Linked DNA regions of Pelodiscus sinensis. The main gene of each other region encodes a partner of the protein of the gene in region 4 in a complex. Links are inferred from orthologs where the notes say so. Each region holds a gene or a part of one and is shown on either strand. Other genes may lie near its edges.

The links.
Region 1: TRRAP (region 4) and MORF4L1 share a complex: the UniProt entries of both Homo sapiens proteins name them as parts of the nuA4 histone acetyltransferase complex. The link is inferred for Pelodiscus sinensis from reciprocal best matches to the Homo sapiens genes TRRAP and MORF4L1.
Region 2: TRRAP (region 4) and VPS72 share a complex: the UniProt entries of both Homo sapiens proteins name them as parts of the nuA4 histone acetyltransferase complex. The link is inferred for Pelodiscus sinensis from reciprocal best matches to the Homo sapiens genes TRRAP and VPS72.
Region 3: TRRAP (region 4) and MBTD1 share a complex: the UniProt entries of both Homo sapiens proteins name them as parts of the nuA4 histone acetyltransferase complex. The link is inferred for Pelodiscus sinensis from reciprocal best matches to the Homo sapiens genes TRRAP and MBTD1.

Annotation. Positions count from the first base shown.
Region 1 is NC_134724.1:1,223,552-1,230,861, reverse strand, and holds the start of MORF4L1 (mortality factor 4-like protein 1), read right to left. Parts: upstream 3,016-7,310; 5' UTR 2,921-3,015; coding exon 2,881-2,920; intron 1-2,880. UniProt on the Homo sapiens protein: Component of the NuA4 histone acetyltransferase (HAT) complex which is involved in transcriptional activation of select genes principally by acetylation of nucleosomal histones H4 and H2A.
Region 2 is NC_134734.1:15,612,258-15,619,509, reverse strand, and holds the start of VPS72 (vacuolar protein sorting-associated protein 72 homolog), read right to left. Parts: upstream 3,011-7,252; 5' UTR 2,920-3,010; coding exon 2,806-2,919; intron 1,766-2,805; coding exon 1,613-1,765; intron 1-1,612. UniProt on the Homo sapiens protein: Deposition-and-exchange histone chaperone specific for H2AZ1, specifically chaperones H2AZ1 and deposits it into nucleosomes.
Region 3 is NC_134730.1:15,381,827-15,389,632, forward strand, and holds the start of MBTD1 (MBT domain-containing protein 1), read right to left. Parts: upstream 3,013-7,806; 5' UTR 3,012-3,012; coding exon 2,907-3,011; intron 2,620-2,906; exon of another isoform or gene 2,597-2,619; intron 2,474-2,596; exon of another isoform or gene 1,969-2,473; intron 1-1,968. Other genes in the region: UTP18 (U3 small nucleolar RNA-associated protein 18 homolog), read left to right, coding at 4,065-4,310, 5,638-5,768, 5,956-6,051, 7,147-7,223, 7,740-7,806. UniProt on the Homo sapiens protein: Chromatin reader component of the NuA4 histone acetyltransferase complex, a multiprotein complex involved in transcriptional activation of select genes principally by acetylation of nucleosomal histones H4 and H2A.
Region 4 is NC_134726.1:24,279,391-24,286,819, reverse strand, and holds the start of TRRAP (transformation/transcription domain-associated protein), read right to left. Parts: upstream 3,002-7,429; 5' UTR 2,854-3,001; intron 2,367-2,853; 5' UTR 2,270-2,366; intron 1,363-2,269; 5' UTR 1,307-1,362; coding exon 1,207-1,306; intron 844-1,206; coding exon 794-843; intron 1-793. Other genes in the region: TMEM130 (transmembrane protein 130), read left to right, coding at 4,842-4,923. UniProt on the Homo sapiens protein: Adapter protein, which is found in various multiprotein chromatin complexes with histone acetyltransferase activity (HAT), which gives a specific tag for epigenetic transcription activation.

The DNA.
Region 1 (7,310 bases), on a different chromosome or scaffold from region 4:
CCCCACACCATGTGCAGGGGCTACTCCAGCCCAGCTGCTTCTGGTCCCACTCTGGGCTGCTGGCTCCCAGGCTGCAGGGGCTAGGAGTGGGGAGCCTTGTCTGGGGCTGGAAGCAGCAGTCAGGAGGAGGTGGAGAGGGCTGCTGGCTCCCAGGCCACGCAAGCTAGGAGTTGGCAGCCTTGTGCTGGGCCGAAAGCAGCTGCTCCCCCCCAGCTGCCCCTCCCAACCCCATGAGAGGCTGACGACTCCCAGAGCTGGCAGCCCCATGGGGCTGGAGCAGCCCTCCATCCATGGCTGGCCACTCCTGGGTAACGGTTAACCAGTTATCTGGCATAGGGATGTGAATGGGTAAGCAAAAAACAACAACAAAACACAAGTTGCAAGGATTGGGGCTTCAATGCTTAATGCTGCAGTAGTTTTACATGTGTAAGGTGAATTCTAATGTATTATTCATTAAGGACCTGGTCTGACTCCCAGGGAAATCTTTCCATTGACTTCTGAAGGGTTTCAATCAAATGCCATCTGCTGGATCCAGATCCAGAATGGACAAGATACAAGGCAAAAGACAACTTTGCAAGTTAAATCTGTTTTTTTTTTAAATAAGCAAATACATACTGCTAAATCCAGGGGAAATTTTTAAAGACCACTTGCTGTCAGCTTCTCTAAAGCTAAAATAAAAAACCAACTGGCATATTACACACTACACCAGAAAGTCACATCAGCACAAACAATACCACTTCCCATATCTACGAGTACAATTCAACATGTACATTCAAAACACCCATTAGTCTTTCAAATTACATATTTAAATATTACCCTTACAGTTGTCATTTGTCTATTCTAAAAAACACCACCTATTTTAAAAGCAGATTTTATTGAGTAAGTTGCATCTTTCATGAAAAGTGTATGTCATGTTTCAGCTTGATGAGAATTAAGGCCTGGTCTGCATTACCATTATCTCAATGCACGGCAGCTTATGGCAGCCTATGCACATGTTTACACTAAAATTTTGCCCTAATCTAGACAACATAAGGTAACACAGCAGGGCATTTCACTCTGCATTGGCCTAACTATGCTTCTCATGGATGTAGCATCAGCAGTGCATTGCTTATAGTGACTATTACTGGCTTCCAGAAGTCATCCCACAATGCCCCACACTGATAGTACAATGAGTACGAGTGCTCCTGGTGAGCGCACACACGACTGACAGAAGAAACCAGACACACACAAGTGATGTAATTACTGCAACTGCTGGATGCCGACGTAAATAAGGTCAACTTAATTCTGTAGTCGAGTCATGCCCTAAAATATTATGTCTAAAAAAGGGGGGGTTGTTATGAACAGAGATCACCATAGTTATAACAGTGTTGCACATCACCACAATAATCAGCATACTGTAGTTTACAATATCCTTAAGCCATATTTAATAAAGACTATGTCACAAGACAAGATACAAGATCTCCAACTGGGCGAGCTTATAAAAATAATTTAAGTAATGAAGTAAACATACTTCTCAACCTCAAGAAAGGAAAATCTTGACAGTCCAACTTGATAAAAAAAATCTTTCAATGGCTTCAATGCCCACTGATATCTATCAGAATGCTTTGACACACACCGATGAAAAAGACAAAAGTCAAGCACACTCTAAACAAAGGAACAAGTCCTGAGTCTCCTGGGTGAGCTGAGAGCATTGAGAAGTATGGAAAAAAAACAAGAGAATTATCTAAGAGAAACCACTGCCATTTCCTAATTCTCTGCACGCAAGGGAGCTGGAACATCCTAAAAGCCCTCTGCCCCTCAGGTACCACACAAGGGAGTCCAAATTTGCTTAACTGAGGGCCTCATTGAAAGACTGCCAAGAAGCTGCAAGCCCTCTGTAAAATGGAGTACCTATACTGCAGCTACCAATCGAGTAGCTGGAGGAGATGGCTTCCAGCAGGGAACCATGCACCTAGATCTAAACTGAAAGGCCATTCTGTTTCACCACAACCTGCCAGGATACATCATCTCCATGGGTCATAACTGACCTCGTAGGCCGTGTTTCAACCCTGCAGCCCACAAACCACTCTCTCAGACACACAGTGCACACAAGCTGTGTGAAGCACAGATAGTGACAGTGGTTTCACCTACAAGCAACTGGGTGAGGAGGTTGTGTTTTGCCTTTTTTCAAAGAACCATCTCTTCCTTTTAGCCCTCCGCTCCCCCACTGCAGAGATAGGGGGGAGGGACTGAAGCTGGAAGATTAAAAAGGGCCTTTTTTCTGGTCCACACCCCAGAGCTTTGTAACTACTGGAGCATGGATTGGCCACAGAATCAGCTTCCCAGTCCCCACTACCCCAACACCCTGTCACCCCCAGCCCAGCCAGCATCCCCTGCACCTCTCCAGCCTCCCACAGGGCTCCCAGCCCCATTCCCAGCCAGCCTCCCATGGCACCCCCAGCCCCACCAGTACCCCCCACCCCAACAGTCCCCAGCTCCCATCCCCCACCAAAAGAAACTCCTCACCCACGCTCCAACAATGCTCCGCAGCCCCCCCAACAACCCCCCACACCCACCCATCCCCCATCCCAACAATAGCCCCCAGCTCCCCTCCCCCACCAACAGCCAGCCACCCCCCTACCCTCCCCCTACCCATCCTCCCCCACCCTCCCACAGCCCCCCGCACGCCTTCCCCAGCCCCCCAATAGCCCCCCCAACAGCCCGCGCTCCAACAGTAGCCCCCCCTCACATCCCCCCCAACAGCCAGCCTCCTCCCCCATCCATCCATCTCCCATCTATCCTCCCCCCCAGCCCCCCCACTCTCCCCCCCAATAGCCCGCGCTCCAACAACAGCCCCCCCCTCCTCCCCCCGCTCCAGGCCGCCCCGCCGGCCGCACTCACCCTCCTGGAATTTGGGCTTGGGGTCCTGCTTGGGCGCCATTTATAAGAGCCTCGCCCGCCTCCCCACCCCTCCCCTGCCGGCGGGGCCGCGCCAGCGCCACCGCATTATAGCGCCCAGCCCCGCGCCTCTGCGCATGCTCCCGCCGCCGCGGGCATGCCGGGACTTGTAGTCCTGGGCGGGGCCGGCCCCAGGCTTCCCTGCAGCGCCACGTGCGCTCTGCCCGGCCGGGGCGTCCCGTGGCCAGCTGTGCCCAGCGCCCGGCCCTGGCTCGGAGCAGAGGGCTGCGCGCTGCCCTTCCCTGCACAAGGCACAGGCCTGTGTCGGGCCCTCCCCCGCGCCCTGTAGCCTTTGCAGCCTGAGCCCCTTCCGTGTGCTTCTCCCATCACTCCTCCTCCCCGGCCAGCGGCCCTTCGTTTGCATCCCCCTGCCCGAGCCTGGGGAGTCCGCGTTGCTCTTAGACGCCTAGCAAGCCAGCCCAGGACCCCACGCGATCCTGGGGGAGTCTAGGGAGCTGCATGGAAAAACGTTCTCCTGGGAGTATAGGGGAAAAAGGTTGCGCCCAACGTGGGGCTCGAACCCACGACCCTGGGATTAAGAGTCCCATGCTCTACCGACTGAGCTAGCCGGGCTCTTGGAAGCTTGAGTTGTTTGGTACTACAGTTGACAGTATGCCTCTCTCATGCAGCTTTTCTCAATGTGAGGCTTTAGGCAAAGGATTTAACAGGGCTTAAAGGGATTTCTGGATTACTGCTACCAGTGTCTGTCTCCTGCATTTTGCAAGGGATCCCCTGCAAACGCCCCCTTGTGGCCAGCTGCAACCTGGATCTCAGCATGCCACGGGGCATAGAATGGGCACTGGGAAGGGATGGGTGGCCAAGGTGTGGGACGTTCATGCAGCTTCCACAAAGGCACTTTGGGAGAGGAGCCCCGTTAATCTCCCTGTTGTTTCAGCGGATTGTGTCCACACCATGCCCAGCCATCAATAGGCCTCCTAAGAACAAGCAATTCACTTAAACCGCTGCCGCACTTGTGCCAAAATGTGGAGACAAAGCTGTTTTGTCACATGGGTTGTGCCCACGAAAGCTCATGATGCTATATTGTGTTTCCTAGTCTCTAAGGTGCCATAGGGCTGCTCGTTGTTTTTAAAGCGACAGACTACCACGGAAACCTCTCTGAGGCATTTTGTTCCATGTTTTACTGTTGAAGCTGCCCTGCTGCCTGTGTTTAAAACCAACCGGCAAGCGATGGCTTTCCTCTTCTCTCTTCTTCAAAACACAAGGAAGCAGCTTTCTTTTAAAAAATTAATCCGCCTGCAAACTCTCCTTCTGGACAGCAGGGTGCATGAAACTAGGACCCACCTGTGAACAATTCGATTCCAATTCACCTTCTGTCTGTGCAGACCGACCTATAGCACCATCCCAGCAGGGCCAGGTTTCAGGCTGCTGAAGAGTTCCCAGTTTCAGGCACAAACCCCTACTAGTGCCTCAGAGTCCAATGGCTTTAATTCCCAGTCAAGCCTGAAAAATTGAAAACTTTATGTTCACCCGGTGGAGCCCCTTTGCTCTTACAATATATCTGTGCTTCTCAGTGGCTAACCAGAAGGGCCCGCTGGGGTGGCCCCACCTTCTGGTGGGTGGGTAATGATTGGGGTGGTAAAACCCCCGCATGCTGGCTGGGGTGCTAGCAGAGTGAGGTCAGACCAGCACCCTAGTCCAGGCGCAGGTGTGTCAGCCCCTATGCCCGAGCAGGGTGGACCTGGATGAAAAATAAGTGTGTCATGGCCCACCCACGTCAGGCCCACCCCCGCTAGACTTCTGCTTTTGTTATTATTTTCACGTTCATTGGATTAAGAATATTCAGATTTTGAACATGGGGTGAGCTATGATCAGAGTGTTCATATATTAACCAACACAAATGTGAGATCAGTTAGATAATAAGTTGTAGGGACCTGGGGACTGCTGGTTTGGCCATTCACAAGCACAGGTGCAAAATTCTGTGACTGTAAAGTCCATACCCATGGATGAGTGTGGTTGTGTGCAGCCTCCCCTCATCTAATCTCTATTTTTTAAAGGTTACAAGACTTGAAATCCTGGGGAGACTTTAATTGATGTTGATGGTCTCTAAGCCTCGCCTACACAGGTGTATGTGCTTCATCTTTTCAATATTTTCAATAAATATTAAAAAATGAAGCCCGCCAGTTAAACCTGGCACCGAGCTGTGTTTGACACAAGTAAATGTAAATCCCTTAAGATATTAAATATCCAGGGGTTGATGGCTGTGTGGGCAGATTTAGCAGTGTGCTGGGTGCACCCTGTGTTCGGTACCTTACAGTTTTACTAGATAATATCTCACTGCTCCTGCTGCTGCCCATAGACTCCAGTGATGTCAAAATATACCATGACTGATTAAACCAGTGTTGGGGAAATCTCACTCCCCTGGGGTACAGAACCCCCAGAAGGGTCCGAGGCTGGAGGTCAAAGCAGTGAGGCAGGAGAGAAATCTAGAAGGAAAACTTTATTATGCATGCATGCAGGCTGACAGCTACCAGAGTGAGAGCAGCAGCAGCCCTGAGAGACAGGTTCAGGGATCCTTTATACAGTATGCTCAGACAGTTTAGTTGTTGATTGTTTTCTTTAACATATCAAAGTCTCAGCAGAAGTGAGGTTTCTGTTCACACCAGAAGTGCTAGAAGTAAGTTTTACAGTACAAAGGCACATGAGAACCTGAGTGAGGAGTCTACAAGGCAAACTGTGACAAAGATAAGAGTTTACATGGCAATTTGTGACAGACTAGGAGTCTCCATGAACTTGAGGTAGGAGGAATTGTAAGGGTCTTGATTAGAGTTAAGATGATTTCTCTCTGTTACAGGGAGAGAGGCCTGGAAAACTTTTAACCCTTACAGCAGTTTTCTTTTAGAGAGTTTTGATTTCCTGCACAGTCCCCCCTTAGACACAATTGGAGTTATTTGATTTTTCTCCCACACCAGCAAAAAAAAAAAAAAAAAGTTCCAGCTGTGAATTAAAGACACCAGCTCTGCAGGAAATAGACACTTTTCTCTCTCTGCACTGAGGAACGCTGGTCTTCAGGCTGAGGCACCCTGAAGCTCCCCTCTCCCATCACCACTAAGGAACTGGAAGCAGAGAGCCTAAGGGCAGGTTAAGGAGGGCTTCAGGGACTACAAGTCCAAAATGCTATGAAAACATATGGAGTTTCCCCTTCTCTATCCCACCCCCTTACCTAGCATACCTGCTGGCCGGAGCTGAGCATTCTACCCCTTAACTTTTCATGCTGGGGGCCTAAACTACCCCAGTGTGCATCGTGCCGTGATTTTAGTGCTCATCTTCCTGATTGCACACGCTGATTATTGGGGGCTGATTTCTAGAATCCAACAATAATGGATTATGGCTGGAAAGCAGGAGTTCCCTTAATCATAGTGAGGAAATGTTGTGTGTCTTGCTGTACTCCCCCCCCCACACACACACACACTGCCAGCTACCATGCTTCACACCAGAGGTGACTGCTTTTCAGTAATGGATCCCTGTTAACCTGCAGCTTGTACTAGAAATGTAAATTCCCATAGAATAGATAACAGGTTAAACTTAAAACAGGGATGGCCAACCTAACCCTGAGAAGGAGCCAGAATGTACCACTGCACATGGACAAACAGCCACAGTTCTGTGTCACCAGCCCAGGGCCAGCCAGAGCCCTTTTGGCACCCCGGGCCCGGGCGCACAGTGCTGCCCCCGGGTGCACGGCGCATGTGCGGGCCCACCTGTGGGGCCCTCCCAGGGAGCACGGGCCTGCCCCTGGGGTGCACAGCGCATGCATGGGCTGGCCACAGCCACTGGTGCGCAGCCCGGGGCCCACCCCCGGGGCACATGGCGCATGCGCTGCCCAGCCCAGCCTGGCTAGTGTTGCTGGCGCATGCGCCGGGCAGTGCAGGGCCCCACGGTCGTGGGGGGAAGGGAGCTGCTGGCTGGCGCCGTGGTGCCGGCACTGTGGGAGCCAGGCGCATGGCGCCTGATGGCAGCTGTAAGGGACACCGCGCGCCCCTTACAGCTACCATCAGGCGCCCCTCATCAGTTGGCACCCCGGGCAGCTGCCCAGCTAGCCCATGCCTCAGTCCGGCCCTGCACCAGCCCTGCTCATCTCCCCACCACCACTCTCAGCACATCCCCCCATGGGCAGCCCCACCGGTCAGTGCCGCCTCCTCCTTTTCCTCCTGCCCACTGCGATAAGCTCTCTCAGTGGGAGACACTGGGAAGGGGAAGCATGGGTGTGACTGGCTCAGTGGAGAGGGTAAGAAGTGGCAGGATCCTAGGCGAAAGGGTTGGAGGGGGACAGCGCCTAGGGCAAAGCTGGGGGTGGAACAGAGAGCACCCTACAGCCCAGTGGAAAGTTGGCAGCTGTAGCTCCATCCCTGGATTTG
Region 2 (7,252 bases), on a different chromosome or scaffold from region 4:
ATATAATGCTGCTTTGGAGATTTCAGCCCCATTTAATTAAAGGGATTATTTAAACAAGGGATTTTGCTGCTGCTTTTTGCCAGAAGGCCCTTGCTGACATAAATGCCTTTTTTTTTTTTTTTTTTAAAAGTGCTCTGCCCGTAATACTAGTTACACCTTTGATTACAGAAAGAACATTTTCAGTCTCTGATTTACTTTTACTATTACAGGCAGTCCCCGGGTTACATGGATCTGACTTACATCGGATCCCTACTTACAAACGGGGTGAGGCAACCCCGCACTAGCTGCTTCCCTCCAGCAGACCAGGGAGACACGGAGCGGCTTTTCTCAGCAGACACCTTAGCTTGAGAATAAAGGACTGAGGGAAGTGAGGTGTGGGGGAATAAAATTGAGCTCTGGAGAAATGTTTGGCTAGAGTTTCCCCTACAATATGTACCAGTTCCGACTTACATACAAATTCAACTTAAGAACAAACCTACAGTCCCTGTCTTGTACGTAACCCGGGGACTGCCTGTACTATGGTCTGTTTATTATGGTTAGTTTCTAATCACTTAACATCACTCCCGCAAAGTAAGGATGTTAAGTATCGACTAATTAACTAATCGAATAGTCAATGCATTTTGCATCGATTATTTGATTAGTCAATAGGGCGCCTCCGCCTTTGAAGTATAGCAACAGCCCTAAGGGCTGTTGCTACATTTCAAAAGCAAAAGCACTGTGTGGAGCCCAGGCAGATCGCGGGCTCCCCCCGCACTGCCGCAGTGAAATGCCACAAGAAGCCCAACACCAGGCTTCCTGTGGCATTTTAAAGCAGCAGCGCCTTACAGAGCCCAGAGTCAGCAGCGCCTTACAGACCCCAAGCTCCATGTGGTGCTGCCACTTTGAAGTACCTCCTCTTTTCCCTCCGCCCTTGCTGCCTCTATCTGATAGAGGCGGCAAATGGGGGGGAAGTGACTGGTTGACTATCCTGTTGACTATCCGATAAGTGTTTACTTATTGGATAGCTGACTAGTCCTTCACATACCTAGCGCAGAGACCCAAAAATGGAACTCAGGAGTCCTGACTGCAAATTTCCTGCTTAAACTTGAGACCACACTCCATCCCAGAGCTGGAAATAGAACCCAGGAGTCCTGCCCAGGAGACTGCACTCCTGCTCTGGAAGACTATGCTTTCAAGCTTCTACTGCAGCTAAGAACATAAATAAAACAGCCTATAAATGGAATTGCTGTCAACTCCCCAGTTATCCCCTAAATTAGGTTATAATCTGGTTATACTGAGAGTTTTGCCAGCAGTTTTCATATGGGTCCCTCCCTTAGCCCCACAGGGCTATGTCAGAAACAGGGGTTAGCCAGCTGTTGTGTAGAGAACACTGCCCATCATACTGACTGTGGTTGTCTCATTGTTTTCTTGTGCTCCCCCATCTGTATCCACTTGGCACCTCCTGTCATCTACTCAAATTGGAAGCTCTTTGGGGCCAAAACCACCATTTTTTTCATGGGCCATACAGCACCCAGCACACAGGGGGGTATCCCTAATCCATGACTAGTGGGTGCTGCCAAATACAGAACCAGCGGGAGCCATCCAGCACCATGACCAGCTGCTCTGTCCTCACCTTGTAGGCTTTGGTGACCACCCTGCGTTTCCTCTTGGGCTCATCATCATCCTGGTCGCTGGCCGGCTCATCACCCTCATCGATGTCGAAGTCGGAGTCCACTTCGTCGTCGCTGTCCGACTGGTCGCCTTTGTACTCATCATCGCCCGACTCCTGCCCAGGAGATGGGGGGGGGGGGGGAGGAAACAACAGTCAGAAGTGAGTTGCCCCCACTCGCCCAAGCATGTTACCCTCCCATGGGCCCCTCTGCTCCCCACCCACACTGCCCCCACCCCAGCCAGTCCCCAACTCAACCTCCACAAGGGACTGATGCCCCCCCACCGACCCCCAGGGACACCCCACAGCCCCCGTATACCCCCTACAATCCCCCCACCACCCCCCAGGGACACCTCACAGCCCCCCCGTATCCCCCCTACAATCCCTCCACAGCCTCCCACCCCCCCCAGGGACACCTCACAGCCCCCCCGTATCCCCCCTACAATCCCTCCACAGCCCCCCACCCCCCCCAGGGACACCTCACAGCCCCCCCGTATCCCCCCTACAATCCCTCCACAGCCCCCCACCCCCCCCAGGGACACCTCACAGCCCCCCCGTATCCCCCCTACAATCCCTCCACAGCCTCCCACCCCCCCCAGGGACACCTCACAGCCCCCCCGTATCCCCCCTACAATCCCTCCACAGCCCCCCACCCCCCCCAGGGACACCTCACAGCCCCCCCGTATCCCCCCTACAATCCCTCCACAGCCCCCCACCCCCCCCCAGGGACACCTCACAGCCCCCCCGTATCCCCCCTACAATCCCTCCACAGCCCCCCACTCCCCCCAGGGACACCTCACAGCCCCCCTCGTATCCCCCCTACAATCCCTCCACAGCCCCCCACCGCCCCCCAGGGACACCCCACAGCCCCCCTCGTATCCCCCCTACAATCCCTCCACAGCCCCCCACCGCCCCCCAGGGACACCCCACAGCCCCCCTCGTATCCCCCCTACAATCCCTCCACAGCCCCCCACCGCCCCCCAGGGACACCCCACAGCCCCCCCGTATCCCCCCTACAATCCCTCCACAGCCTCCCACCCCCCCCAGGGACACCTCACAGCCCCCCTCGTATCCCCCCTACAATCCCCCCACCGCCCCCCAGGGACACCTCACAGCCCCCCCGTATCCCCCCTACAATCCCTCCATAGCCCCCCCACCTCCGTGAAGCCCCCGTAGGTGGTCTGGTAGAACTCATCCTCCTCCGCCTCCAGCAGCCCCGCGAGCCGGTTCCCCGCCGTGCGCCGCGGCGCCCTGCCCCCCGCCAGGCTCATCCCCCAGCCGCCGGGCCCCGCGAGCGATTGCTCAGGCCTGGCCCAGGCCAGAGCGAGCGCACCGCCGAGCGAATCCAGCCCACGGAGCGCCGAGAGATCGAGGCGGGGAGGCGCGGCCAGTGGAGAACCATGGAGCACCGAGCGATCGATGGAAGCCAGGCTGCCCAGGTAGAACCCCACTGGGCCAGCTGGGGACAGAAGCAGAGACAGGGACAGCTCCTCTACTGCACGTTCCAGAGAGCCTGTCTGTGTGTCTGTCAGCCCCCCAGCTGGGGGACATGAACCCCTCCCCTAGCTGTGCCCGCTGGAGCTGTAGTGGCCATGGACAGATGCTTCTCACTTGGCCCCAAGCTGCTGCGGTGACAGAGGGCTGGAGTGGTCCTCTCTCCCCAGGGCAGCCTGAATACCGAACCCCACGCCCCTTTGCAGAACAATGATTTAAATGAAAAAAAAAAAACTTTTTTGACTTGAGCAATGCCGGGTTCGTCTTCTAGTAATACAAAAAAAATCATCCATTACTGGCCATCTGGATTTTGATGCTAAAGGTGTTGTTATTTTCAATTTTCCCTGCAGCCATGAAGCCTCCTGGTTTGAGCTGGGAGGCTGACAGACTTGTTGGGCTCCTGGGCAAGGCTGGGCAGCTCCATGCTCCCAGAAGGGGCGGAGCCTCAGACAGGAGGGGGCGGGATTGGGAAGCCCTCAGCACCACCTGGAGCAGGGATGAGTAAAAGGGCCTTCGCAGGCCAGATCTGGCCCACCAAGTGCGTTGATCTGGCCTTGCCTCTCCCCCACCCCCCAGGCCAATCAGAGCCTAGGGATGGGGGAGCGCACAGCACGGTGAACCCTGGCAGTTGACTCTAAGCACCATGCGCTAGAAGGCAGGGAATGAGCAACTTTGTGTGCTCCCCCCCCCCCCCCCCGCCACCCCCAGACCAATCAGGGCCTGGGAGCAGGGGAAAGCACGGGAAGTCTCTTCCCATCCTGCCAGGAGTGTACGGCACTTCTAAGCGCTGCATGTTCCTTGCAGAACAAGGGCAGGGCGGGAGGAGACTTTGCATGTTCCCCCCATCCCCAGGCAAATCAGGGCTTGGGGATGGGGGAAGCGCACAAAATCTCCTCCTGCCCTGCAAGGAGCTCAGTACTTAAAGTCAACCACCAGCTGCTGTTCTGCTGGCGGTTGACTCTAAGGCTACGTCTACACTGGCACCCTTTTCCAGAAATGCTTAAAACGGAAGGCTACGTCTAGACTGGCCCCTTCTCCGGAAGAGGCATGCAAAGCAGGCAAGTCAGAATAGGGAAATCCGCAGGGGATTTAAATATCCCCCGCGGGATTTAAATAAACATGGCCGCCGCTTTTTTTCCAGCTTGGGGAAAAGAGCGTCTAGACTGGCGCAATCCTCCGGAATAAAGCCCTTTTCCGGAGGATCTCTTATTCCTTTTCCGGAGGATCGCGCCAGTCTAGACGCTCTTTTCCCCAAGCCGGAAAAAAAGCAGTGGCCATGTTTATTTAAATCCCGCGGGGGATATTTAAATCCCCCGTGGATTTCCCTATTCTGACTTGCCTGCTTTGCATGCCTCTTCCGGAGAAGGGGCCAGTCTAGACGTAGCCGAAGAGTTTTCCGTTATAAGTATTTCCAGAAGAAGCGCGTCTACATTGGCAGGATGCTTTTCCGGAATAAGTGGCCCAGTGTAGACAAGGCCTAAGGGTGGTACTCCCTTGCAGGTCTGGGGCAGGAAGCAAGAAACTTTGCGTGCTCCCCCTCCCCCAAGGCCTGATTGACTTGGGAAGCAGAGGGGAAGCACGTGAAGTCTCCTCCAACCATTGGGGAACGGGTGCCTAGAGAGAACTGCCAGCTGTTCAGAAGAGCTGGCAATTCTCTCTGCAGGGGTGAGAGACAAAGACTTTGCGTGCTCCCCTGTCTCCAGACCAATCAGAGTCTGTGGGTGGAGAAGCACTGAAGTGTCATGGCCCTGCCCTTTCTGCCTGAGGTCCCGCCCCTTCCAGCAGCCTGGGGCCACTTCAAACATTTCTGAAGTAGCCCCCAGTCAAAAATTATTGCCCACCCCGGCCTCGAGTGTGCCATGCTGCCCTCTCTCCCAAACCTCAGAGCCACCTGGAGCACGCCATGCAGTGCTCCCATAGTGATTTACAGGGCCCAGGCTCCCACCACTTCTACTCCACTCCCTCTGAATTGCCAGATCCCTTTGTCTCCCCATCAATGGGCCTGTGTGTGGACAAAAAAAATACTGTAAGCATCTAACACAGTGGGGGTTTGTCCACAAAAGCTTATGCCCAAACAAATATGTCACAGGACTCCTCGTTATAATTCCACCACAGCACAATGGGTTTGTGGCCTCCAATGGGAAATACATCTGCCCATTGGTCTTATCCCAGTGTAAGACACAAAGATCCATAGGCCAGATTCAGTATGCCCAATCCTATTGAAGTCAACAGCAATTGCATTCACTAACAGCAAGAGATTAATTTGGTCCACAAAGAAAAATAAACCAAATCTTGACTCTCACTAGCACTGTCTCTGCAGCGGAAGTTTTTTGAACACTTTCCACGAAGCATGCCTTTGTTATGGGGTGTTCATTTCTGATTTCTCAACATGATTAACTCATCTTGGTTATAAATCTAGATTGATAATATACCCGGAAGAAACTTACAAAACTCAGCTAATAATGCATGATGAACTAATTATCTCTTGATCGGCTTTGTTGCTAAAATATGTTCTGTGATTCTGAATTTGGAACTTTCAGGTTTTTTCACACCATAGGACACAGGTGCCAGCTTCCTCCTTTCCCCAGGAGTGCTCAACCCCAGACTCAACCTCCACTGTATCCCTTCACCAGGCCCCACCCTCACCCTGCCTCTTCCTTTCCATGTTGGGCCCCTGCCTTGCCTCTTCCTGGCCAGTTCTACCCCTTCTCCTGAGTGCTCCTTTCCAGCTCTTCTTGCACACTGCAAAGCAGCTGATTGTAAAGGCCAGGTGCTGGAAGGGAGGGGAGGGAATTGATCCTTAAGTCCCTCTGGCTGGTGAGATGTTCTGGGGAGGGGAAAACGAAGGTGCCTGCCTCTGAAGGAGGAGGGATAGCTCAGTGGTTTGAGCCTTGGCCTGTTAAACCCAGGGTTGTGAGCGCAATCCTTAAGGGGGCCATTTAGGGATCTGGGGCAAATCTGTCAGGGATGTTACTTGGTCCTGCTGTGAGGGCAAGGGACTGGACTCAATGACCTCTCAATGTCCCTTCCAGCTCTATTAGATGGTATATCACCATATATTATTATTATAAGTGCTCATTGTCGACCTAACTTACATCTTCATGCAGCCACTGCAGCTATTGAATTGCTTGTGTGCATGCACGCTTGGCTCCTTGTGTTGGTGGATACTACCAGGAGCTCTAGTATCCATTGTATTGCCAGTGTGGGGCACTGTGAGACAGCTCCTGACAGGCACGAACAGTTGACATAAGTATCTCAGTGTCTACACTGACGCTGGGTCAGCCCTAATTTCATTGACCATGACTCTACGCCGCTTGGGGAGATGTATTACTAATTTGGCATAGAGAGGCACATAAACACCAGTCGGAGCCAAATGTAAATGAAGTCACTTCCACAGCCAGATCACCACAAGGCAGCTAACATTGACCTGTGTACTGCAGACCAGGCCTAAATGTAGGAAATCTAACTTGACTCACTTGGGTTTTAGTTTCAGGTTTGCTGGGACCAATAGCTCCTCCTCGTATAAGTGGTAAGAAATAATGTTTGGAGATTGTATGATAACACTCATTCCATTACCTATCTGATCTCACATCCTTCTGCTCTTTGCTGCCCTTTAAGATTTCCTCTCTCTCTGGCTTGATTGATGGTTACCCTGCATTGGAACAATATAATTTAAAACCCGCTTTGCATTAATGTAAATAACAACGCAACACTCAAGACAATAAGGAACCAGGCTGAGAATCCAAACGGTGCATGTGCATTGCTGTTTGCTTGTGCTGCGTTGTCTGTCTGAAATTGCTTTTGCTTTCTGAGATTCATTACAGTGTTGTCTAAAGGTTCGAGCGCAAACATGGGAATGAAGTTAATGTTCATGCATATTTTTTTAAGTCAATGTGAACTTTGCCCGAGTACAGACTGCAAGGCGACAGGCTTAATTATTGTGAGACAAAAGAGGCCAGCTCCTTCCCTGATAAAACTCCATTGATTTCAAGGAAGTTACATCACAGATAAATTCAGCCCAGGATATGTGCAGACCAGATGTAGGGGCATTGTCACTGACCAACGGGTAACGGCTTTCAAAGCCAAAGGTACTTAGGGGCCTACCTCAAA
Region 3 (7,806 bases), on a different chromosome or scaffold from region 4:
CGGAGCGCCCGGCCAGCTCACAGCCCAGACGCGTCCGGGCTGTCAGCTGATCGCACGCTCCGCGGCTTGGCTCTGCTTTGCCCCCTCCCCCTGTCCTCCTGGTCTGCAGACCAGGGGGACGGGGGGGGGGGGGGGGGGGCAAAGCAGAGCCAAGCCTCGGAGCGCGTGGGCAGCGGACAGCCCTGTCCGCTGCCCACGTGTTCCGCCGCTTTGCTTCCTCTCCCTGGTCTGCTGGAGACCAGGGAGAGGAACGCCCCGTTCGTAACTGCGTAACTCGGGGACTGCCTGTACAAGCAGTTTTTAAGTGAGGTGAAACATGGGGGTACACAAGACCAATCAGACTCCTGAAACGGGAACAATAGTCAGGAAAGGTTAGGGGCACTGTTCAAAAATACACACACAAAAACTGAACGGGTTATACTGCAACTGTTTTAAAATCAAAACAACTTTCCTTCTAGCAACTTATTAAAAATGTAAAGCTTTAGCATAATTGTGTCCGCTGTTGCACTGTGAGGAACAATTGCACTGTTGCACAGTAGGAAATGCAAACAATTTAGCAACAATCCAAATGTAATTTCTGATTCACTGGAATTCCAAAACTGACCGGCAAGTTTTGGACAGTGGTTTTACTTAAGTAACACGTCAAATGAGTAGCTGAAAAGCTATAGAAATACACTTTTGTCTTCAGTATCTGCATTTGACATTTTATAGTCAGTTTTCCCTGTCTGTTTGTGGCCTCCATTTCACAGACCTTTTGCACAGCAACTGTTAACAATTCAGCAACTGTTGAGCACTGTCAACAGGCTTAACTGTCAGTTGACTGTGCTCAGCACCTTGCAGAATCAGGCTGAATTTTAGGGACTAAGGGGGAAAAAATCAAAGTGCAAGGAATGCGAACCCTTAAACATTTTAACCAATGGTCCTCCAACTAGTCATTTATTTTTATAAACCAGAAACTAAGGAAATATTGCTTCCCCACTCCAATCCTGTTTCACAGTATAAAGTTATTCATATACCTAAGAGTTTTCAGGACCCAAGTCTAAATTGCTGGTTCCTTTGTATGTTAACTTCCAGTTGGGAAACTTGTCTTTCCTATGGTTTCCAGTTGTCCCTGTGACAACTTGTTCAAAAAAAGCTAGTTAAAATAGAATTACAAAGCTGCTGTTTTATAGACTGAGTGCCCTTTTCCCTACTACTTGTATGGTAAATTTAGTACAGATTAATTTTTCTTTCAGATTGGTTACCTAATATTATTAAAAATGAAGTATAATTGTGTTATTTACCTTGTATAAAAAAAACAAACTTTGAGACCCCAACACTAAAAATATCAAATCACTAAGTCCTGGTCTACACTAAGGAGTAATTTCAAAATAACCCCCATTATTTCGAAATAAGCGGAGCATCCATATTACCAAGCCTGTTATTTCGAAATCTTTACTCCTGCTTTCCTCAGGGAATAATGCTTATTTTGAAACAGTTATTTGGAAACAGTATTTGTGCGGACACCTCAGTGCTGCGATTTCAAAATAGCTACTCCCCATAGTAATTTGAAGTAGTTACTCCCCAGGGTATCCTGGGACTCTAAGTCAAAGGAGCACATCCACAATAATGGAGCCTGCGTTGTACTAATTTTGAGGCTTCCCCATAGTGTGGGCATACTATTTTGATTTTGCTCTTTCAGGTGTTATTGTGCTGAATTTAGTTATTTCGAAATAATTTCCTAGAGTAGATTTGCCCTAAACTGACTCTCAAGCTTTAAATGACAACTTCTCTTTAAAAGGAATGCAACTTTTAAAGAGGCACTACCAATTTATAAATATCCCCACATGTACATTTTGCAAGACTAAAGTTTTATGAAGACTACCATCACCAACTAAAATGGCTAATCAATTTAAAAAAGTCTACTATAAATAGCATCTCTTTAAAACCAAGAAGTTCCATACAGTACTTGGAAATCCATCTACAAACCTGAAAGTGAAACTATCTTCAAAGTTCCATTGCTCAAGCTGCGAGAAATGCCAAAAGCAAACCAAACCATGGAGTTACACACTGGATTTATAAAAATCCAAAATTGTAAATAGTAAAAGTAAAGAGATTGCAACATTTGAAAACGCCGTGTTTCATTAAACCCTCAGAGCAAACGCCTTAATTGCAAAAAGATAATACTACAATAAAAAAAGTATTCCCTCTCTTGTCTCCCCCACCAGTCAATGGGAATCACAGCAGGTCTGAATTGTTCAGTTAAAAACAAAAACCCATTGCCATTGCTATTGTTTCTGGTTGTCAGGAGAGCCTGCAGAGACAAAAAGGCAGCCTGCAGAGAGATGAAATCTAACACAATCTTCTTAGGGGAAAAGGGAGCACAACAAAAGGTAACCCGTCTGATGAGGGTACTGTCCTCTCCCACATCACCCGTTTCTTTCCCGGTGATGACAGATATTGCAATGTATTTCAGCGAGACATTTAAAGTCTCTCTCGTAACACTGCGGAACACTCCCCTGCTCTGTGCTCATTCACTGTCCCAGCATGAGTACCTCCAGGTAATTATACTAATTGCATATCAACTGGATGCTACTCTGCATTTACTGCAACCTACTCTGCTCGCAGAAGAGTCTGCTATGCAGATTGAAGTTGCACGAATCAAACTCCTAGCGAGAGCTCTCCCAGGAACTCAGAGAAGCCTGCAAATCACCGCAGAAGGAATCGCAACAAAAGAGAGCAGCGAAGCAGCCCCGGGATCAGAGCTGCAGCCCTCCCTCCCCGCAGGCACACACGAGGAGGGGCGGAGAATCCGGAGAGGAAGACAGCAAACTAGCCGAAAGCCCCGGAGCTCGTAACTGCTGCTGTGCCCCCAGCCCCCAGCGCTTTCTCCGGGCACCCTCGCGCCGCGGCTCCGGCTCCCTCACCTCCCGCGTGCCCACGGACGGAAGAGGATGGGGGATAGAAATGCTGCAGCCGCGCTTCCCCTCTACTTTGCCCCCTCCCCGCCTCCAGCAGAGACAGAGACTCATGAAACAACAGAAGCTGGAGGGTGCTCCTGGCTGCTCCCCTCCCACACAAACGCTGCGGCCAGCACAGCTGCTCGGCTCCCTCCCCCAAACACAAGCTCAGTTCCCCCCCTCCCAGGTCCCACTCTGCAGGCTGCCCCCCATGCCCGCACTGCCCCTGCATTCCCTCCCCACGGAGTGACCCCCCCGGGGGCTCCCCCTCACAAGCACAGCCCCCCACGCTGCGTTACCTCCCCCAACACAATCCACTCCCCCCCCAGGTAAGCCAGGCGAACCCACCGCAGAGGCGGCCGCTGCCTCGTCTCCCCCCGGGGCTGCGCTACTCACCAGGTCCTTTGTGTTTTCCATCAGGCCCTCATGGGCAGGGGATGCCTGCTGCTCTCCCCCCCCTTCCCTCGGCTCAGCCCCCTCCCTCGCTCCCCCCTCCCCTCCGAGGGGCCGGGCCCGGCTGGGGCAGGAGGTGGCCTGGAAAGTTCAGCCTCTCACTTAGGCAGAGAAAGAAATTCAACTCCCTGCCCAGAATATCAACAACATTAGCATAACCGCAGGGCGCAGGCGCAGCGCCCATCCCGCCGCGCGCTCTCATTGGGCCCCCAGGTCTTCGGATCCTCCTGGCTCGCCGTATTCCGTAGGGTGAAACTATTTTGTAAAAGGGGGGGCTGGTGGGAGAGTGCTCGAAGCGGCGTGTCAAAAACAGACTGGTAGTTGGCGTGTTCGCTGCTTCTGAGCCCCGTGTTACCGTTTGTGAGCCGCGCTCCTGGAAGATTAGGCCCTATAAGTGGGACTGGTCCCTTCCGCGTGAGCAATGGAATGGTCCGGCCTGGGAACCTATCACGTGGGAAGCGGGGGGAGGAGGGAAATGGATCACGTGAGACTGTCTTGCCTGAAGGGGGCGCTGACTGAATCACGTGAAAGAGGCGTGATGGGGGCAGAGAGCCTATCACAGGGTGGGAGGTAGCTACTAGGTCACGGAGGGCGGGACTTGTTTGTTTCTACTTCCGGTTCACTAGTGACGCTTCCGCTGTGGGCACGGTAGGCTCTGAGGTGGGTGTGGAGATGGAGCCGGCAGCTGCTCGTGGGAGCCCCGCGCGGAAGCGCGTTCGAGCGGAGAGGAAGCGGCGGCAGTCGCCGCGGGCGGGAGACTCCGGCGATGGGGGCGAGGAGGCCCGACGTGCCCGGCACCTGACGATGTTGTCCGGGAAGCCGGAGGTGGAGCGGTGCCTGGAGGAGCTGGTGTTCGGCGGCAGCCAGGAGGCCGAGGAGGAGGAGACGCTGCAGCGGTTGCGGGCCCGGGGCAAGAAGGTGAGGCGGGGGGAGGGGATAAGTAAAGATCGGAAAGACGGGGGTTGGCGGATGTAGAAAGGGCCCCACTGAGGCACCCCTCCCCGTAAGCCTCACTTCTTCCTGCGTCTGGGTGCGCTTTCCCCGCACGGGGAGTGAGCATGCGGCGCTCCCTGTCCGCAGCACGGGTTCAAATAGCCGTGTAGCTGGTGCGGTAATGCTTAGGCGAGTAAAGTCACCCCCGAACCCTGTGAGCATGTGGCCACTTGGTGCTTTCCTCCCCTGCCATTCGTAGTGGTGTAGTGTCATGCTGCCTCGTCCCGCAAGAGCCATCCACTTCCATGTGCAGTTAGTCATACTGTAGACACAGTTGAGTTTTTGCTGCAGCACAAATCTACACCATTTGTACTGTGTGCTGCAGTCAATGTAGGCAAAGCCTCCCCTTTCAACTGCTCTCTGTTGGGAAGGGGAATAGGCCCCTGACTAAAGTCTTACTTACATTTATATGTCTTATTTATATGGTTAGAGTTATATGTGTAAAATCTTACTTAAATGTATATGTGGCTTATTTTTCTGGGCAGTTTTAAATATGAAGCATAAAACTGCTTTGGGTTGCTTGTAGCAATAGCCACTACATTTGTAGGTAGTGAACTAATGATGTTAAATTTAGATTAATCAGCTAATGGAATAGTTGATGTAATTTGCATCGACTATTCAATTAGTCGAGAAGGGCACTTTCACCTGCTGGCTTTTGCTACATTTTAAATGTGCAAGCACCACAGGGCCAGCGGGGCATGACACATCTGATGGGGAGGTGGGGGAGGAAGCAACTAGTCGAATACATCCCTATACTGAATGTGGGTTCGCAGGCAGAATCAATTTCAGATCTAGTGGGACTTTTGGCATTAAGAGTGAAAGACCTAGGAATACAGCTGGAACTTACTGAAAATCTTGCTTAAAGGTGCATCTTATTACATGTAGACTAGTCTGTCAGTAGCAATAGATAGGTGGCTTTTTTAACAGATGTGTCTTTTTAGTATAAATAAATTGTTCTCTAAACTATGACCTTTCCTGAGAAATAGTGGGTATGGACTATGGGAGGGGAGATAACTGCTTGTCTGATTCTTGTGGTTGGGGTGGGCATTTGGAGGAGGGGAGCATTAGGAACTGCACTCTGTATCCCTCCTGGCTCTACACCCAGCATGCGGAGATGGGAAAAGCAGTGGTTTTACTACGATTCTTTTATTTTTCCCCTATGGAAAAATGTCTTTTAAACTTTCTCTGTTTAAAGTTGTAAATATTAAATTTGTCCAGTGTTTGACCATATGGTATGGGTTTTTTCTTTAAGCTTGATACTGTCACAGGAAATCTTCTAAAAGAGGACATCAGTGACTCAGAAGTGGAGAATGAAGCAAAAGATAATTTTCCTGCATCTAAAAAACCTGCCTGGGTGGATGATGATGATGAAGTTGAGGAAATGTGAGTTAAGCTCATAATGTTATGATGTGACTGGAAATAAGGGGAAATAGAGGTATTGACTTCAAGAATTGGAAGAAATACTGAGTGTGTTGTTCTAAATGGCTGCTTTTTGAAGTCTTCAAGAAAATAAGGATTGCTACTATGCTTTTTGCAGTTTTAGCATTGAGAATATGGCTTTGTTTCCTAGAGTTGACATGACACATCGTTATCGCAAAGGCATGATGAAAAGTGATGCAGAGAAGAAGCTTACCAAAGAGAAACTTAATCAGAGACTTCAAGAACAGTAAGAATTGTTAATGGATTATGTTAGCAAACTTTGCTGTTAATTTTAGTAACATAAGATATGTTATGTTCAAGTAAGATTTGCTCTTTTTTTTTTCTTCTCCTTTTTCACCAAGGGACTTGGGTGAATAACTTAAATTCCTTAAAGCTAGTCTGCTTAACAGCATCGACCATGTTGTGAGGACTTAACAAATAACTAGTATAATGAAAAAAACCCTACATTCTTAGCATGTGATTGTATTGCTTGTCATTGAAGCTTTCAGCTGCTCTGTGGTATGGAGAGGAGACTATTGAAAGCTTTATTGTCATTGGAGCACAGTCTTGTTTCTGTTTCCTTACCATTATATGACATAGGAGAGAAGTTAACATACAAATTAGACTTCATAAAATCCGTTAAGCAACAAAATAAGTAGCTTCATCAATCAAATGCATCCAACCCCGTGGGAGTGAGGCAGGCTGTTGCAGCCCAGGTTGGCTGGAGCAGCCTCCTCACTCCCCTTTTAATTGGTTAACCAGTTAAACATTACATTTAAACAGTTAACCATTTAAACAGAATTTTACATATAGCATAATATTTATATGCCCTAATTATTGCATGTGTGTATTTAAGCATCCTTTTTATTAGGGATTTAAAAATGCACCCATGTAACTGCCAAAAATTATAGTGGTTATATGTGCTGTGGGCTCTGCAGAGGTGTGCAAGGAGCTGCTTTAGCCCCTACCAGTTAAACGGAACTGGTAAGCCTTACCTCTTAAGGGCAAAGCTTACCAGTTAACCTTTTACAGCACTATTTCTTATATATGTGAACTTTGCCATCTAGGCATGTATGAGTATAACATTTTATATATGTATGTCATTTAGTTCAGATTTTCTGTGCTGAATCAGTTCATGGAAGCTAGAGTAGAAAAGATCTATTTAAAAACAGCAAAAGAAGTCTGGCTGCTGCATCTGAGTGAGATGGTGTAATTGTTAGGAGGCACTGTTTTAATGTCTACCTATTAGTGAGAGAAAAGTTGCAGAAAAATCAGTTTTTGGCAGTATGATACACAAATCATTAGAAAAGAATGGGGCTATGAAAATTGTCCTTTCTTTTAGATTTCAGAGAGCTATGGGAGGCGTGCCTTTCTGGGCCCAGAAACACAAGAAGAAAGCCAGAAAAAATGCAAATGATGGTAAATATATTTAAATACATTAGAAAGGCATTCGCTTTTCCAACATGATCCTTTATTTTGTGTGACCTTTTAGAAAGTCATTTGTTGCCTGGCACGTTTCCTGCTTTAACTTTTACTGTGTACTGTATACCTGCTGCTTTATGCCTTCTCTGGCCATGTCTACGCTATGCCGAAGTTCAACTTTGCCACAGTTGATCTTCTGGGGTTCAATTTAGTGGGTCTAGTATAGAACTCAGAGGGTGTCCTGATCAGCTCCAGTATGTCGTCTCCTCTCGAGCAGTAAAGGAAGCTGATCTCCCACTGTGTGGATGTTGCGGAAACACGATTTAAGATCTGTTGACTTCAGGTATGTAATACACAACTCCAGCTGTGTTAATCTTCAGTTGTTCTGCCTCTGTGCTTTAGCTTATTGCTTTGACTCACAGCTGCAGAGAACTCAAAAGATAATAAAGTTTATATGGAGACGCAGCAAGAAATTACACACTTAATGCTCAGTTTTAAATTTGTTTTAACTAGATGATAGTGATGAAGATGATGAGCTGCTTCACAAGACTGGCAATTTTGTGTCTGCGTCAGAGACTTT
Region 4 (7,429 bases):
ATTAAATATCATGTGACATTTTTTATTAATGTGGATATACTTGCCCAAGTATTCCAGATTAAATTCTATTCGGCTAAAGTACCTAGAATTCAGTACTTCTAAATAAAAGCAACACATAAAAACAGGGGATTCCATTCAGATTTTAGCATAATATTGTATAATGGTGCCATTTCTTGAGCAACAAATGGCAAATCTAGTATTTCTACGTGGTATTCTTAAGCATCCCAAATGAACCTAAGCTATTTTCCCCTGATCAGCTGAACTGAAAAAGGGTCAGTGCTATCACCTTCACTTCACTGCAGTCCTCAAGGAAGGAATCCACACTTGACAATTCCTCCTTCTCACCTCTCAACTGTTGCATTACTCAATACAAAAAAAGCAAGCAAACCACTTCTTGGAGAGCTAAATGTGCATCTGAACTCCATTAGAGAAACAATTCCACAGACAAATGTATCAAGGTTATGCAGTAAACACATTTGATTAGTTTCTTTATTCAAAATGTACTAAACAAAGATTTTCTGTTCAAACAAATATTTGAGAAAAAAACCTGGAGGCTACAAGCTACGGACCTCTAATAATTCTGCAAGTGGATTGTAATGCACTCTAAACTTAATAATTAGTATATGTTTTAACTTTTAATAGCCATTACTCTTTGGTTCTGTGTTTAACAAAGAAAACCGGTATTTCCTTTTTAAACAATAAAAACAGGATCAGAAATCCAGATGACATACACACCAAGAACAAGAAATGTGGCATTTAGATCATTCAAGAAATACATTAATTTTGCAATTACCTCAAAATTCTCACTGACTTCTTGCATCATTTTCAATTTTGTTTCATCGGCTGAAAATTCACAAATTTGAGTGAAAAATTAAATATATGTGACAAAAACCTGACAAATACCAAACATTCACAGGTAAAAGAAGCAATCAGATCTTATCAGTTTAGCTATCATTGCCCAGTTATAAATCACACATTTCTCACAATCACACACTTTCATACTCACATTTCATACTCACACACTTCACTCTAAGGCTCATGTAAGTAATGCTCATCATTTTGCTTCTTCAAACAATCAAAGATAAAGAAAATGCAAAGTGAACTCCATTCAAATTTACCAACCAACTCTGTAGACAATATTACAGAACTCCCTGAAGCAAATGAGTAAAGAATCACATTTCCTTAAGAAATGGAAAATAAACTTACGAGTATTAACATCTGTTAGAGCAGCCACAAACTGGAGGTATTTCTTCATCAAAGTGGTTTGGTCAACCACGGTGGGCCCTTGCGTTGAAACAAAGGCCATTTTTGTTTTGGACCAGACTTGAGTATATTAAAAAAAACTGAAAAAAATCAGCCCACCTACAAAAATAAAAAAACATTGTAAATATGACAGCTTATTGGTGATTTAGTCCTGTGACATCTTATTTTAAAGGGGCACCATCAATTTAAAAGTCATATTTGTCATATTTATTTACATACAATTGCAACTTATATTCTAATTAACTGAAATAAGAGAAAAAAAGGTTACTTCATCTTTTACAGATTTGCATACTGAGTTTTCCATTTTCTTTGTATGGGTCTATCAAATGGCAACAGGGGAGAATAACAGTTTAAGGGTTAGGAAAATACAGTGATAAAGGCACACAAACTGGCATAGGGAAGTCAGAAGAAGATACACAACATAAAAAGTGTAACAACATATTTTAACTTGACTAGATTTCAAATTGATAATGTCCTTTTAAGTACCTCTCAACAAGGTTTCAGGGTACCTCAATCAAGTTTTTCCACAAACATGATCTGAGTTCCTAATATGTAAAAAGAACTTCAAAGCAGTAGCGTCTCAGTTGGTTTTAGTTTTCATTGTGTTACAGACCTTTACTGCTGACCTCATTTCACAATCCATGTTTATTTTCTATCATATCCAACATCTTAATTTGATTTAGCTTTCAAATCAATCTATGTTTCAATAGAAATACACTGCATTTTTAACTACATCTTTCTTAATCTCTATGCAAATACTGATTGTTTAGGCTAATCACAAAACCTCTCTGTTCCTCAGTGCTTCCTTAGCTGTAAAATGGGTAGTTCTGTAATCGCAAAAATGTCACAGAACTTTACAGGAGTTTTTTGACATTTTTGTGATTACAGAACTACCTCGTTTACAGCTAAGGGAGCACTGAGGTTTTGTGATTAGCCTAAACAGGAAGGCAGCTCATGACAGCACTGGAAATACAACCTTGAAGTCTCAGCTCCTCTCTATCCTTACCTTCTCTGTCTTGGTGGCTCTCTCCTGATTGAGGGTGCCACTTTCTCTTTGACTGGACTCCATCTATGCTGACCCCATTCCAGCTAGTGCTCTTGCTCTGTAATTGTGTGAAACCAGTTATGGATCTTAAAGATGGGCATAAAGGTGATATTGCATCTCCCTCTACCAACCCGGGTTTGCTCTGAGGTCAAAGCCCTTGGCATCTGTGCCCTCTCCCCAACCTTTCAGATCAGATCTCCTGACCCTCCAGCCTTAGATCCCTAAGCCCCACAAGCTAAGCCTCCCCACCCCTCACATCCTTTCCCTCATCCCCATCCCGATACTCCAACGCCAGACTCCTGCCCATCACCAGCAGGGCAGTCTCCCCCAGCGCCCACTACCAGGTCTAGGGCGCCCAGCTCACTCTAGGGCAGGGCTCCCCCACACACACACGCGCACCCCGCTGTAGGGCAGCCCCCGACAGGGCCTCTGCGGGACTTGCCTGCGCGGCCCCTGCAGACACACACCCCGACCCGCGGCCTAGTCCCCGAGCTCCCCCCACCGCCGAGTCCGGTCTCTGCCCCGCAGTCCGCCCCGGGCTTTACCTCCCTGCGCGGCCTCCTCGCTCGAGAGCCCCTCCTTTGTCGCCCTCCGGCCTGAGCCCGCAGCCGGGCGCGGCGCATGGGCCCCCAACGCACGACGGAAGCCGCCGGGGTTCAGTTCCGGCCGCCGCCGCTGCCTGCGAACGGCTTCATTCCCCGCCCCCGCACGCGCATCCCCGCCCCGCCAGCATCCCCCCGCTCGGCCCCTAGTCCGCGCGCGTGGGTGGCCCCTCCCCCTCCCAACAGCGCGCCGGTCACGGTCTGAGGGGGGCCCCGGCTGGGCGCGCTGCGAACCCTCCGCACCACACGCGAGAACCGGGCTCGGGGATCCCTTCCGGCCGCAAAGCGGGGGGCGCGGCCGGGCAGCCCAGCAGCTAGCGCCGCAGGCAGAGCGCCCAGACCCGGCCTGGCTTGTCCATTAGCCCCGCACCAGCCTTTACCCTCGGCCCTTGCAGCGGGCCCGGGCAGCGCCCTGTAGCGGGCCCCGCGGGAGCTCCCGGGCAGAGCGGCTCCCAGCGCGGAGCATCCGCCCTGCTGTGAAAGCGACAGGCTCCCCGGGCTGTGTGCTAGAGCGGAGGCTTCACAGCCACACGCGCTTGGCTCTCAATGCCGAGACCAAAGATGCCTCAACAGATCGGACACACACAGCTTTTCCCACTAGAAACAGGAGCAGGGAGGAGACGGGGACAGCTGAATGAAGCAAGAACACGGGATACAGAAAGTCAACTCCTGGAATACCCTGTTGGCCTGTACTGTGTATCATCATTTTTACCCCGCTCTTTGGGTGAAGATCCACAGACTGAGATATCAGTATATATTCTTCCATAGACCTGTACTGGACCCAACAGCTGGATTTTAATGAAAGCAACAACAACAAAATTCTCCCTAATTTGTTTTGAAAGACAGCTCTACTGGTTCAGTGGCTTTTGATTAATAAGCCGGGTGTAGAACAGAAAATAGAAGGGAATAAAGTATAAACGTTGGAAGATGGGTTGTGGAAGAAGTATTCCTGGATAGCAGTCAAGTTCAGAAACTTTATTTGCATGACAAACTATAGAAGTGTCATCCAACTTAGCAAGGTATACTGCAAGGAGCAATTAGTTAATAATAAAGTAGCTATTTCATATTTTGTGCTGTACCCATCTCTCTCAATCTATGCTTTGTACTATACTATTGTACAATAAAATATTTTTATTAAAAGCAGCTAATCCACCCAGCCTGCCATGATTCTCCAAAATCCTAGTGTCATCTAGTTTGTATGAAGGATCTCATGCAAAATAAGGCCAAAACCTAGGTGTTTGTATCTCTGCATGGGAGTAGTTCCAGTCTATTGTATGAGTCTAATTGCATCCAGAGACTTACAAGTTTTCAAGATTGGGGTCTTAAATGTTATTGGTTTGCACTGTGTTATGAGTGTATGACTCAAATTCATTACTCATCTGTTTTAGAAAGATTTTTAAGGCAGCATTTTTCTTAACCATCAGGAATATGATACAGGATTTGGGCAGACTACGTCACCTATTTTCTAATGGAATATTAAGCCCTACAGAAATCAGTCTGTTGTAACTTTTAACGTGGTGTTTTATACAAAAATCTGCAAGATACACATGGCCACGCATACCAAAATACATTTATTCTATTACCTTGTACCAGAAAACTGTTTTCAAAATTTTTGCAGCTGTAGGAGCTTTTCACTAGCACCCCCATAGGGATTTTCTCTGCCTCCTTTTCTAATCCATTGGTTTATACAGGTGTCTAATACAACTTTTCTAAACTAGTTAGGCGTGGGCAGGATTTGCCAGGAAAAAAAAGCAAGAAAAAAAACCCAGACAGTGCAGTACATCCACATTGCCTCTAGGTGACAGCAGTAGTGACTACTTGCTACCCACCTCCTCCCGGTCCTGGAGACAGAGTGGAGCCCACTTGGAAGATGAAGTCTGGCTATCGGAGCTGAACAGACAGTAGCAGTTTTCTCGGGGCACTGACTACAAATGGCCCTGGCTTTTTTCACCCCGAGCATCCTCCAAGTGACTTGCATGGTGCTGTTCCTTTTCCATTCCAAGTCAGCGGCAGGTAAGGTAGATCTGCGCCTTTCTCAATCCAGGGCTAATGAGCCAGGGGTCATTAGAATTCAGCCCTAAAAAGCAATCTTATGCTGCTGTAAACACAGAATGAATATTTATTTCCAGGCAAGCCCAAAACCAACTGAGCATTTCTATGGTTTTCCTGAAAATAAAATACTCTATCTGCATTTTCAGCAAGGTTTGCAGTGTCATATTTCTCCTATATATATATATAGAGAGAGAGAGAGAGAGAGAGAGAAGGGAACAGATTAAATGAGAGATCTTTTTGCCTGCTGCTAATTTCTGCAGTGCTAGGTTTCTGTGGAGAGTGATAAAACCCTGCTCTGAAACGAAGGGGTATAGTTAAACCTCCTAGCTTGAACATTGGTTATTTATAAGGAAGACTTTGTTTTCTTGTTCTGGGGTGGATTGTGTATTCAGGATCCTGCTTGAATAACTGGAGCAGGTGTGAAGGAGCTGCACCCCAAAGGGACATCTTCCCGTGAGAAGCTAGCAATAATGAGTAAGTTCTCTGGCAGAACAAAAGGGGGGTGGTGCAGCTATGTCTGCCCTTTTCCACCCACAAACCTCGATCAGATGATGTGGGAACTGCCTCTTCATGGTGAGGCTTAGTTAGCAACTCTGGAAGGAAGGGATCTCAGACAAGACTGAATCTATCAGCTCCCTTCTTTATTTCCATCTTGATTGGGATGCAGTGAAGCATCTCTGCTCCCTCACTGCTGTTAGTCACAAATGACTAAGACAGCTTGCCCCTCCTCTTGCTCCTTCCTAGCTTTGCTGTGTTGCATCTGAAAAGTGAGCCAGGAGAGCTGGGTTAAATACTTCATTCTGCCACTGATATATTGTGTGACCTTGAGCTAGCCACTTAATCTCCTTCCCACTCCGTTATCTTATTCAATATGTCCCCTCCCCAGTGTCTTTTTTAGATCTGCCACTGATTTCTGGTATTTTCCCCAATTTTTGCTGTAGCAAAATGGACAGTGAACTAAGTGCAGATTTTTAAAAGGTCACCTTCAGCAGGAATTTCAGTCTTTCTAGTTTTGCACCACCTACTACTCCCTGCCAGTGCACAATTTTTTGGATTTTCCCTCCTTTTTCTCATTGGCCTTCAGTGCAGCAGGACCAACTTTCAACCACACCGCAATTTAGGATATAAATGTTTCCTTTAAATTGGGGTCGGAGACTGGTTCTTACCCAGGTTGAGAGAAGTAGAAAAAGAAAAGGTTAGTGGAGAACCATAAAACAAAGTATGTTAACTTTGTTACACATAAGGCTAAAGGAAATTTTTTTTCTTGGGTTTAATAAGGAAATACAGGAATGAAATCTGTAATTAGTTTTGGACACTAATCTTCAGTCCAAAATTGTGCTAAGAAAAACATTGATTAAAGGAAAAATGTAGCCAGCAATGACTCTATTTAAAATTTGAGCTCTGCAGACATGCATCAGAACTGCTCACCCAAAATGTTTTCTCTGCACTGAAGTTGTGGTCTTTTTGGTTTTGGTTTTTGTTTTAAATGAAGCAGGAGTGACTTGAAATGGAGGTATGGCTACAAAAGCCTGACCCTAACAGGAAAAGTGAATAAAGGGATTCCCTGAGCAAAGTAATATGGTATTAACTTGTACAGTATTGTCAACTTCAAGAGATCTAAAATCATGAGTTGGACCCCTAAAAATCATGAGATTGGCCCAAAAATCATGACTTAAAAAAAGATTATATTGTTTTTTAATTCAGTCTCTTAATGTTTGAATTCCCTCTGCCCTCCCAAGGGGGTAGCATGTAACAATTAGTGTTGCCCTCTCTCCAACTTGCGTTGTATACGATTATTTTGACTCCTGCTGCAGGAGCTCTCAACCCCACATCTGCCCACCACCTGCCCAGCAATTATTCCTGTTCCCCAGTTCCCCGTCAGTTCTCTCCCCATCCAGTGCCCTCAGTTCAGACCCACTCAGTTCACTTCCCCAGCCCCCCATCATCACCACATCAACAGTTCAGCCACCCTCCCCCATCAACCCCACCACAATCAGTCCATCCTCCCAGCACTCATCCATCTGCTCAGAACTCACCATCAGTATGGGCCCTCTACCCCATCAGCCCTCACGCTCCTCACTTCACCGCCCCCCCTGCACCCTTCTGGCATAGTTCAGTCCCTCTAGTCTCATCTCTGCATCTTTTCACTCTCCCCATGCTTTGGGGTGGGAGGGATAGCAGTTGGTCCCCTCACCCACTTCGCAGGCTGCCATGGGAACTACCACCTACAGCTAACAATGGACTTCTCAGCCGCCAGCGGCTGACAGCAGGAGATCACCCAGCCCGGGCAGAAAAAAATCCTGAGATTTGAGAGTTCAATCACAAGATCATGGGCAAGACCTATTTTTCTTTAGAAATCACGTTTCTCATGATAAACTTGTGAGAGTTGGCTTGTCCATTCAACTTGTGAGCTTCAGTTTCTGGATTGTGCTGAAAAAGCCAGAGGAAGAATGCTTGTTGTTTTTGT